3 linked regions of the Rhinolophus ferrumequinum genome follow. The protein of the gene in region 1 interacts with the protein of each later gene in a pairwise test. Links are inferred from orthologs where the notes say so. Each region holds a gene or a part of one and is shown in the gene's direction. Other genes may lie near its edges. The genes, in order: PSMF1, FBXO7 and KHDRBS3.

Region 1 (3,746 bases):
CCCCTGCTGCCATGAGATCACACCACATCTGCATGCGTGTTACTCTCTGAGGCCCGCGACCTCACCCCCTTACTTTTGGCTTGGGCTTCCAGGCTCTCGGCCTCACATGGAAAGGTGCTGGCTTGGGTAGTAGATGGCCATCAGCTGTGACTAGTTGGCCGTCAGCTGTTAGCTGTTAGCCATTAGCCACTGATATAACTGCCGTGGCTACACTAGCAGGGGGCCGAGTGTGGATTGCGGATTGCAGGGAGACTGATTGTAGTTAGCAAGTGAGGTTGGTTGGCAGAGAAGCGGGTGGCGGGTTGCGGATCATGTGGCTCCTGCTTCCTGTGTCTCCAACCCAGCCACCAGGGAGAATATAGTGGTATGACTCCCCTATCTGTGGCTCCATGGGTGTTCCTTTTTGGCCTCACCATGTCCTGTGTTCTTATGTGGGGAGCGGGACGAGAGACCCTGAATGACAAATTGTGCAGCGACTAGGGTATGGTGTTGGCCAAAACAATCCGAAAGGTAATGGAGCTGTTAATACATATAAACTCTGTTTTGGGAGACCCGTGAGAAGTAGCACTGGGAACAGGAGGTGCGATCTGTTTGGGAGAAATGTTACCCCTCAGTGAATTGGTGGGTCTCTCAAGCTGCCAGATTGCACGCCACCCTGTTAGCCATAGCAGGCATCACCTGCTTTTTGGTAGCCTGCAGCTGCCGTAGGCTCCGAGGGTTGCAGACATCTTAAACCGTAGCCTCCACCCAATCAGGCACCTGGCACCGCAAGCAGGATTCTGGCCAGGTAGAAATGGTGTCTGACTCTGCAGGAGGACATGTGGCCCCCACACAGTGTGTGGTACCCAGTAGCCACTGTTCTCAGAAGTTGGACCCCTGAGGAGGGGTGGGAGGACATGGATGGCTCTCCAGCCAGTATGGAGAGGACCCTCCGTGACAGTCATCTTGGTCAAATTTACCCTCTGTGCTTCTATTTACCCAACTGTAAAATGGGGCTATCATTAATACCAACCTTATAAGGTTAAGTCGTGAGGATTACATAAATGAATACAAGAAGTAAAGCATTTCAAATAATGTGGCACATAGCACATTAGCACTAACCCTAACCCTAATATAAGAGCCGACTATTATTATGAATATATTTTAGCCATATAGCAAGCACTACATAAGATCCAACTATTATGATGAACATATTTTAGCCATATTTCTTAACCTCTCCCGCCACTAGCATACGCCCATCCCGTTTTGTGGGTGGGAAGTCTGTGGCTCAGAACGAAGTGGCCTCTCCTCAAAACACCCTGTCTGCAGAGGTCCGGCCAGAAACCGGGGAAGATAAGGATTCCAGCTTTGAAGGGCCGCTCCCCCAGGGGCCCCACCCGCGCGCTACCTGGCGGAACCTTTAAGTGTCGCGCTCCAGTGTCCCGCCCCGGAGCGTTGCCGCCGCTGCGCCAGCCTGTAGAGCTACTTCCGGCGGCCCTGCCCCCACCCCGGGGAGTCTCCATTTTGGCCGGTGGTGGAGTCGCAGGCGGGACTAGCGGAGTAGCAGAGCGGAGTTATCAGGCCTCGGAGGGCCGAGAAGGCTCACCGCATTTCCTTACTTCCTCTGCCCGCAGAAGCCCGGGACGCGCATGGCGGGCCTGGAGGTGCTGTTCGCATCGGCGGCGCCGGCAATCACCTGCGCGCAGGACGCGCTCGTCTGCTTCCTTCACTGGGAGGTGGTGACGCACGGCTACTACGCCCTGGGCACCGGCGACCAGGTACGCCGCGGAGCCGGTTCAGGATCAGGGTGGAGGGGCTCAGGTGTCTTCTGCCCAAACCCATAGGACCGAAGGCCTGGTCCAAAGCGCCTGTCCCTTCTTCCCTCCCAAGTTCGGAACCTGGGGTGCACGACCCTATGGGTGTAGTGCCTAAGTGGGCTGCGGGTGGGCGACGTGCTGTATTGTCCCTGCTCAGCCCAAAGCCCCTCCGACACAGCTGGCACGGGATTGAAAACCCAAGGACAGAAACTCGCTTCTGCACAGCCTAGCAGCCTCCCAGGCCAGGCTTATGTGGACCTGGCACCTCGACGGCTGTCCTCCCATGCGCACTCCTCACCTGCCTGACGTCCACTCAGCTCCTTCCCACACAGTGGGGGACGAGGAGCTGGACTCAGTCCTGCCGCCATACTGTACTCTAGCCTCCATCAGATAACTGGATCCAAGCCCAGGGAGAGGGGTGAGCTTTGACCTACTCAGCCCCAATCAACGGCCCAGTGCATCCCGCTCGCCACCCTCATTCCCAACTCTGGGCTGGGGGAGACAGGTACCTGCCACACACAGACAGCCTGGCTGTAAGGTTTCCTCCCCACCGCTGTCCCTCCGTCCTGCCCTCCCATGTCAGGCTCTGCCTCTCACAGCTGGGGGCCTTGTCAGCCCCCAGGGAGCCCTGGGACTGCTGGGCACAGCCTACCTCACTACTTCTTTGCTGTACCATTCTCCCCTCGTCCCTGTGACTCCCGTACTACACGGCGGCTTCCTGTGAGAACCGCGCCTAGCCTCCTTACTCCCCCTTCATTTCCCTTCTCCTCCCTCAGGAAATACCCTCCCAGCCATAGTCACTGCTCGCACACTCAGGACTCCAAGCCTGCCCCTCACTGCCTCTCTCTTCTCTCTCTCAGAACCTAGACCAGTTCTGGGGAGCAGGGCACCTCACCCCTTGCATCTTACAGTGAGATTTTTAACTTGACTCTCATTTCTAACTGCTTCAGCTCTCAAACTCCCTAATCCTTTTTTAGTTCCCCAGATATACATCCAGAGTCTTAATGTTTCCTCTCCTGACCGAGAGCTTTAGGGATCCCTCCTCAAACACGGTTTACACGGCCTGAGTACTTAGAACCAGCTACTCCCCGGAGCTCTCACTGCCCCATTCCGCTGTCTCTTTGAACTAGTGACCACCACGCCCACACCCCTGTCTCTGTGCCCGCACCAACAGGAATCAGAAGCCCAAGAACTGTCATGGATTTTTCTCTCTCTCACTTTCTCTTTTTTTTCTCCCTCCCCCCCAAACTTCTAGTTTCTCACTGGGACCCCACATAGACACTTAGCATCCCTTTTCCGCACGTCCAAGCTCACATATACTTCTTCCCTCGTGTGGACTATAGGACTGGAGATAAGGCTGGAAAGGAAGGACTGGCCTTTCACATACACACACCTGGAAACAGGAACCATTTCTTGCCCCCAAATGTCTCTGTTCCTGGCTTTTCTGTTCACCCTGCGCTCCATCCACTTACCTTGTCTTTCATCATTTTAGACCCTTTCACCAAATAGAGACAGCTCCCACTCAGAAGTGTCAGGCCTGCCCTTTCAGTGGATAGTCTCCCCAACAGAAACCTATATCTCCTCATTTGCCCCACTCTAGCTTTCCGGTATTTGACAGTTCTTTCACTTGCCCCAGTCATTTCATTTCAGCTTTTCCTGGGAAGTTCTCCCAAGAATTTGTAGGATGTGCAAGGGGCAGTGGGATGAGAAAGCGGAGTAAGATTTGGTCCTGACCTTGGAGCTCCCCCATGGGCCCTCAGCTACCCCCCACCCTGCCCCTTGCCCTCTCCTTCAGGTCCTACAGGTCGACCCTGTTCTCTGCCCGTCCGCACACATCTCACTTGCCGTGTGTATTCCCAGCTAGCTGCTACGAGCTGCCACACCGTCAGAACCTCTTCTCCTGGAACAGGAGCTTGTTACACAGGGCCTGCCTTCTGTGACTCCCTTCTT
Region 2 (3,746 bases), on another chromosome or scaffold:
GGTGCAGAATAATCCTCCATGACAAAAACTTATGAGGCCTCAAATGCCAGTAGTACTGAGAAATCTTGATCTAATATGTCCTCCACACTCTATCCGTGATAGGTTCACGTTTCAGATCTGACCCATGCTCCTTGTAGTGTACACCTGTCAGACGCATGGCTTCCTACCATCTTTTGAACAGCCTTCTTATATTTTGGGAAATTCCAATATTTTACGTTCCACTTCCCCAGGAAAGTAGTTTGGGCCTCAATTTCCAGTCTCCTTTGCAGCCAGGACTCAGGCATGGGACTTGGTCTTTCTCAATCAGATGTAGCCCTATGAACCTTTGATTTAGAAGTGAGTAAGCTGAGGAAAAAGGCTCTTTTGGAAACTTGGCATTTTGTTGGTGCAGGAGGCTGCAAAAGTGTGTGGCATTTGAAGGTGGCAGCCATTCCCCAGGGGTGATAGCAATGGCAGCAGTTTCCTCCAGTGCGGGGTGGGGTGGGGTGGCAGCAGCGATCCCAGTCATGGTAATTTCCTCATCAGGCCAGTTCTTCAGCATGGTTCTGAGCTTCATTCCTGGAAGCTTAGCCTGGAGCCACTTCTCCAGTCCTCCCCGGAATTTCCTGAGCTATCTGGTATCATTTTAACATGCTCTTTTCTGGCTTAGTGACCGGTTTAACTTCTATTGCTTAGAACTAAGACCCCTGCTAGATAAAGACGCCCCTACTTAAAACTCTCCAATAGCTTCCCATACATTCTAGAATGTGTCCCAAATCCTTCGCTTAGTCCAAGGCTATTTTGTATCTGGGGATGTACTCACTCTGTCCTTTACCCTGGCCACACCGAGACACCCTGATCCTGCCCCCTTTCCTCAATCCCATATTGTTTGCCACTAAAGAACCCTACTGGCACAGCAAAGCTCCTCAATATCTTTTAATCCCTAGGACTTTCTCTTCTCTCTTTCATAAACAAAGACACTTATTACACTCTACTGCAAGAGTTGATTCACTCAATTGTAAACTGTACCAGTAGGAACATGTCTTTTCAATCTTTGAGTCCCCAGCACCTGGGATAATATCTGGCACAAAGGTGATCAATACATTTCTTTAATGAATCAGGATGTGGGCAAGTACCGCCACCTATTGGGAGAAACTTTATTCAACTCTTAAGATTTGGACAATACAGGGATAAATTTTGGATACTTTTCCCCTCACCTAAGCTATCATCGTCGTCATTATTGTCAGGTCCTATATGGTAGCCAGCCTCCCAGATGGCACCCTGTGATCCCTGACTATTGACTGGGATTCATGCCTTAGGGTTGATCCTCCCACACTGAAGGCTTGGTTTGTGATCAGTAGAATATGACAGAAATGATGGTATGTGACCTCTGAGGCTAGATCATAAAAGACGTTGTGGCTTCTGCCGTAGTCTCTCTGGGGTCACTTGCTCTGAGGGAAGCCAGATGCTATGTCATGGGGACACTCAAGTGGCCTTACACGGAGGTCCATGCGGTGAATAACTAACCTCTCCTGCCAACAGTCGTGAGTGAGCCATCTTGGGAGTAGATGCTCCAGTCCCACTCAACACTTCAGATGACTGCAAACTTGGCCTACATCTTGACTGTAATCTCATGAGGCCAAGTCAGAACCACCCTGCTAAGCCAGGCCCAAATTCCTCACCTGTAAAAACTATGGGGCAGTAAACACATGTGGTTTTCAGCTGTTAAGCTTTGGGGCGATTGCTATGCGGCAACAGGATACTAACACACTCTCCGACACACGTAGATCACTGATCACAAGCTGGTTCACATTTTGCTGTAACAGGAGCAAATGACCAGAGCCTGAACTCAACCTTAGGCTTCTCAGAGCAGATGCCGCAGGAACTGAGCGCCGCGGCAGAACTGGGCTAAGAACCAGGCACACCTTAACCTGGCGGAGAGGCGAGGTGTGTCGTCTGCAGCATCCCTCTCAGCGCTACCATTCTCCAGGTACACCTGGAAGGCATGGGCACAGCCAAGGCGTGCAAGAACCTCGCGTGACACCCGCAGCCCGCGGCAGGCTCGGCGCCTGCGCAGCGCGCTCCTCGAGCTCCCAGGTGGCGCCGTTGAGCGCCGAGTCATCGATCGTCAAGTTCCCGAGCACCCTGGCTCCGGGCAGGACGCCAGCCGCCCGCTCGCGGGGTGAGCTCCAGAGGGCGCCCTCAGGAGAGGGGCCGAGTGCTCCGCTTCAAGAGACCCGCCCGCAGCGCGGCCGCCGCGGCGGGGCCTTCTCCCCGTTACCCCTCAGCACCCCTCCAGCACCGGTAGTCGCCGTTTCGGCGCCGCCGCCGCTTGAGACGGGAGCTGTCCGGCCGCGCCGCCGTCACCGTCGCCACCTCCGGGTCCAGGCCCTTGGGCCCCGCCGCCGCCGCCGCCATGAAGCTGCGGGTGCGGCTTCAGAAGCAGACCTGGCCGCTGGAGATGCCCGAAACGGAGCCCACGCTGGGGCAGCTGCGTGAGCACTTGAGCGAGGCCCTGCTGCCCACCTGGGGGTACAGGTAAGCGGCTGCGGCGGGCGCACGGCGGAGAGGCGCTGGCGCGCCTCGGGCTGCGGGAGGCGTGCCGGCGGGCGCGGGCCTGGCCGTCACGTGCGGCGGGCAGTGGCCGCCGCGTCGCGGGTCTGACGCCCCGGGACTGTGACGCACACAGACCGGGCGGAGAGCGGCGCTGGGGTCCCGGCTCGCGGAGAACATGGCCCAGCGTCGCGGGGGCTCCGTGCCCCTCCAGGGTGAGCCGTCGCTTCCGTTCTGGCAGTAACAGAACCCAGGAGTAGGCTAGCACGCGACACCGTTCCGCCCTTTCCAATGTAAAGTTGGAAATTATGGATTTGGTTTGGGTTAAACCTTTCCAGGCTCTCAGGGGTTTAAATTCACCAACTCCAGCTGATGGGGTAGTTAGTTGAAAAGTTTGGGAAGTATTAGGAGGAGTTCGCAATCGGCCCTCCCTCCGAGGCCATCTGAAACTTGTGCCGCCGCTGTGAGGCTGCAGTAATCTTAAGACTCCATTGAACGTTTACGTGCCAGGCGCCGCGGTGCCCACTTTGACTTACCCGCCGCAAAGTTTTACAAAGTGCGGCGCGTCGGCGTGTCTCAAATCATATGATTATCCTGGGCGAGATGCTGCTTTTAGCTAAAACTAAGGCAAACGCAGGCCTTATGATGACTCTGGAGAGTTTGCAGTTTGGGAGCAGTGACATTAAGAAGTAAAGGATCAAATTCTGTTATTCATTTATGGGGCTGCAGATGAGGCTGCTTTGTTTCCACAGGGTATTTTCTGGGGACAATATTCTGGGAATAGAGGGGCAAAAGTAACGGTGGCCCTCTTCAAATACGGAGCTAGAAATTTGGAATTTTGTACTAAGGAAAGAATAAAAAAGATGTTCGCTGGGGTTTTTTAGGTGAATTCTTCACAAGAAAACCTTTGTTATTTAAGTGGCTCTTTTTATAAGACTTTTACAAACTAAAATTTTATTTTTAGGAAATTCAATAAAATGAGCCATATTATGAACTTCTCACCCATTCATTTTTCAGATTAAGGCATTATTACATTAAAAATAAGCCTCATTTTTTTTTCCAAATTACGAGAAATAAAAACAAAATGCGGTATTGACATAACCCCTTTAAACATTATATTAAGTGACATACCTATTGTTATTCCTTGGTGTTAAACCTAAGTTGTTTTGCATGCTGGCATCACTACCCTTCCACAATTTTTCAGAATTAACTTC
Region 3 (3,746 bases), on another chromosome or scaffold:
GGGCGAGCTTGCGCTCCCCTCCCTTCTTCTCCCCCATTCTGACCCCTGACCCGCGGGTACCACTGCACAGCTCTCCCACCGGGGTTGCTCGCTGGGTGACCTTGGACCGGCCGCTTGACCTCTCTGGGCCTCAGTTTGTCGGTCTCTGCCCCTGGCAATGCTGTAACAGCATCGCGGGGCTCTCCCAACGTCCCCAGGGCTGGAGGAGAGCGCGGAAAGGGGGGAGGAAGAAAGGAAGAAAATAAAGCGGAAAGAGCGAAGTAGGAGAGGCAGGTAAGGAGGAGGAGGAGAAAAGGGGGAGAAGGGGGGGGGATAAAGAGAAGGAGAGGAGGGAGGCGGCGAAGGAGGGCGGGGGGGGACGGGTGGGATGGGAGGGGCACGGCCCGGCGCGGCGGCTAAGAGCGCGGGGAGGGAGAGCGGAGTGCGGGTCGCGGCGGAGCGGGGCGCCGGCGGCGGCTGGCGGGGCTCGCCCGGGACTGCGGGAGGCTAGCTGAGCGCGCCGCCGGTCCGCCCGCGGGCCCGCTTGGAGCCCGCCCGCGCCCGCTGCCCTCTGCTGGGGAGCGGGGGGCCGCATCCGGGAGGCGCGGCCGCCAGCGCGGGGCACTCAGCGGGCGGCCCCCCCTCCCGGGGACCCGGGCGGCGCGGTCGGTTCCCACCCCGTGCCGCCTCCGCCAGGCCGACCGCCGGGCTTGGCGCGGCCGCGGCGACCAGCCCGGGTTCCGCGCCGCTGGGGCGCGGGCGCGGTCGCGAGTTGCGGGGCCGCCGCTGCCCGCCCGCGTCGAGTCCGCGTCCGGGGCCCGGGCGGCCCGCGAGCATGGAGGAGAAGTACCTGCCGGAGCTGATGGCGGAGAAGGACTCCCTGGACCCCTCCTTCACACACGCTCTGCGGCTGGTGAACCAAGGTGAGGGTGTGCGCCGCCGGTCGTTAACTGACGCCCGAGGCCATGGGGGCCGGGAAGTGGCGGCCAGGGGGCTCGGAGACGGGAGGGTCGGCACCGGGTAGGATGCGGCGGGCTTGGGAGGCAGAACTATGAGGATGGCTGGAAATAGACCTCGGGGAGGAGAGGAGGGCCCCAGGTAGCAATCGGGGGGGGGGGCATTTGGGTGGGGACCTGGGAGATATGGGACACCTGGGGAAAGCCAGAGATGTGAATTTGGGAGACTTGGGAAGGAGAAGCCTGGGGCATTGGGATGACACTTGAAGGCAATCCTTGGGGACTGGAGGACACCCAAGGGAAACTTCTGGGTGGGGGACAGCGAACATCTGGGGACTTTGTGGGGCGGGGGTTGTATTATCTCATCGGAGGGGAAGATCGGGAGGTAGCTCTGGAAACTAGTGTGGTTAGTCTAAAGAACTGGAGAAAGAGCTGGATGAAAATGGAAGGATTTGAGGAGACCAAATGCAGAAGATGCAAAGGGAACAGGTGCTGGGTTGTTAGTGAGAGTTTGAGGACCCTGGAGGAGGTTTGCGGGCAGACCCCAAGCCCGGGAGGGCAGGACCCAGCTGCCCTAGTGGCTGAGCCCAGTTCCCGCTCTCATGTCTGTATTTCTTCCATGCCCAGGCTCTAGCAGCCCTGGTGGGGCGGTCTGCCCTCCCTGGGGGGTGCACAAGTCATGCCAAGCCTCGCAGGCTGGCTGTTGCAGGGATCCATAGGGGAGAAGAGGTGACACAAGTGCCCCTTTTTGGCTTGCCTGTCCTCATTTTGGGAAGAGCTGAGTGGGCGACCCTCATTGGTGGCTGGCTCAGGGTTCAGAACACTGGCCAAGGAGTCTGCTGCCCATACCATTTTAGCACTAGTCCAGCCAGCTCAGGGTTTGAACAGTCCTGGGAATTACAGGACAGGGGCACACAGGGCTGAATGGAGGCGTGCCTGCCTGGGACAGCGTCCACTGGCTTGTTCATCCTCCAGCTTCCTGAATAATCTTCTGGGATGGAAGGTAAATGAAGTCTTCTTTCCCGGGAGCAGACCTCTTCTCCTCCTGTGTCTGGAATTCACGTTGCAGATAACGATGGGTTTGGGCCCACTTGTCTGCTTTTCTTCTGGGTTATGGCAGAAACATTATCCGGTCAGACGTGTTACCTTTTGCATGGCTCACTCTGTGCAGTGACAGTTTGTCGTCCCCGAGATGAATCGGGTCTGCTGGTCTTAACGCTGACCCTGGCTCTTTCACTGTCGAAAGTGAACAATGAGGCAGACATATTCTATTTGTACATAGATATCTATATTTTAAAACAGCAATCTCCGACGTTTGCCGATTACAACCAGTTCCTCAGACTGATGGTGGTGGAGAGACTCACTGTCTCCAAGAATTGAAGCATGATATTTGAATTGTTCAGCAGGCATCAGTATAGAGCGCTTTCCCATTTTGTTTTAATTTTAGGCTCATCTTGCTTGCTTTACTAAAACGGGCTTGTGGAAAGGTAATGGATATGTATTCTTAAATTTTATTCCCATGCCCTTCTGAACAGTCCTACAGTTAGGTTTGTACTTCTTGCTCTTTATGATTTACATAGATCTTTTGTTGCCTGCTGGGCTGTCATCTCTGTGAAAGAAATTTCTTTGTACATTGTGTGAGATGAGTGGCATTAGAAGTATTCTGGACTGTAGAATCGAGTGAATTTTTCTTCATAGAGAAGCTGAATCAAACTTACGTTGTACTCAGTTAAGGAAACAGTTTAACTAAAAGTTTAATGAGTTATTTCAAAAGTCAGATTTTTTGTGTGTGCCATAGTATTGTGTTGCTAATACATTTAAAGTTCTTTTGGTTTCTGTGTTTTTACTAGTGTTAATGGCCTCTGGTTATTTGAAATAGATATTGGACAGTATTGCTATTTAATGTTTTTTTAGATGTTAAACCTGATTACCTTACTTTTCCATCAAAAATGTAATTTTTGTAAGAAGTACATTTCTCACTCCTTCCTTATGTGAAGGAATAAAAGTGCTACTCATGTGCTCTTATTAATGTCAATTTAGATTATTTCAGACTGAAACGTTTTTCCCTTAAGTCAGAGGCTGATATCTAGGATGCAAAGTCCTATCGTTTAAAATATTAATGACGCTGTTATATAACTCGAAAATTACAAGTGCATTTCTAAAAGTGTCTTAAATCTGAATTTGGATGGTTATTAGGAAGCTTTGATTTTAAATCTGGTAACCATCTTATATTATTGACTTGAGGAAAGCGTTTTTATTCTTAGCTATATTTTTGACTCTTTGCCTCTAAAGGAAACTGGTTTTATTTTAGAGGTTACTCTGAATCTCGATACTAGAGTTGATATTCCTGCGCTAACTTGTACAGAGATGATGGTTCTGCAATGTGAATCTTCATTGTATTGTGGAATGGGTGGCAGGTCCAAATGCTAACACTACCTTATGTCTGCATAGTATTTTAAAGTTTCCAAGGCTCCTTAAGGCGCCTGCTATCCTGTTCTGTTCTCATGCTTGTATCTTTGGGAGGCTCACATGGATGTCTCCATTTCTCAGGGGAGAGAGCTTGGACTCAGCTATGCAAGCTGGGGGCAACTGACATGGATTGCCTTTGGACTCAGGTCTGTTATCGCTACCTGTGACTCCCCCAAAAGGTGGAACAAAACACTTTGCACGTGCCAATTAAAACCGTGCAGAAACCAGGTAATTAATATGCTTGCTTCTGGGTGACTTGATTTTCTAAATAAGTTTCTTCGTGTGTTTCTCCAGACGTCTTCCTTGCTGAAGTAACCATTCCTGGTAGATGTAGCCTACAGG

The links.
Region 2: the proteins of PSMF1 (region 1) and FBXO7 interact in binary tests that used the Homo sapiens proteins (3 or more experiments, as listed by UniProt). The link is inferred for Rhinolophus ferrumequinum from reciprocal best matches to the Homo sapiens genes PSMF1 and FBXO7.
Region 3: the proteins of PSMF1 (region 1) and KHDRBS3 interact in a two-hybrid assay, tested with the Homo sapiens proteins (2 studies listed by BioGRID and IntAct). The link is inferred for Rhinolophus ferrumequinum from reciprocal best matches to the Homo sapiens genes PSMF1 and KHDRBS3.

Annotation. Positions count from the first base shown.
Region 1 is NC_046306.1:23,868,472-23,872,217, forward strand, and holds the start of PSMF1 (proteasome inhibitor PI31 subunit), read left to right. Parts: upstream 1-1,457; 5' UTR 1,458-1,628; coding exon 1,629-1,757; intron 1,758-3,746. UniProt on the Homo sapiens protein: Plays an important role in control of proteasome function. Inhibits the hydrolysis of protein and peptide substrates by the 20S proteasome. Also inhibits the activation of the proteasome by the proteasome regulatory proteins PA700 and PA28.
Region 2 is NC_046293.1:13,035,524-13,039,269, reverse strand, and holds the start of FBXO7 (F-box only protein 7), read left to right. Parts: upstream 1-1,474; 5' UTR 1,475-2,395; coding exon 2,396-2,517; intron 2,518-2,621; exon of another isoform or gene 2,622-2,710; coding exon of another isoform or gene 2,711-2,747; intron 2,748-3,746. UniProt on the Homo sapiens protein: Substrate recognition component of a SCF (SKP1-CUL1-F-box protein) E3 ubiquitin-protein ligase complex which mediates the ubiquitination and subsequent proteasomal degradation of target proteins and plays a role in several biological processes such as cell cycle, cell proliferation, or maintenance of chromosome stability.
Region 3 is NC_046297.1:68,449,053-68,452,798, forward strand, and holds the start of KHDRBS3 (KH domain-containing, RNA-binding, signal transduction-associated protein 3), read left to right. Parts: upstream 1-746; 5' UTR 747-814; coding exon 815-902; intron 903-3,746. UniProt on the Homo sapiens protein: RNA-binding protein that plays a role in the regulation of alternative splicing and influences mRNA splice site selection and exon inclusion. Binds preferentially to the 5'-[AU]UAAA-3' motif in vitro.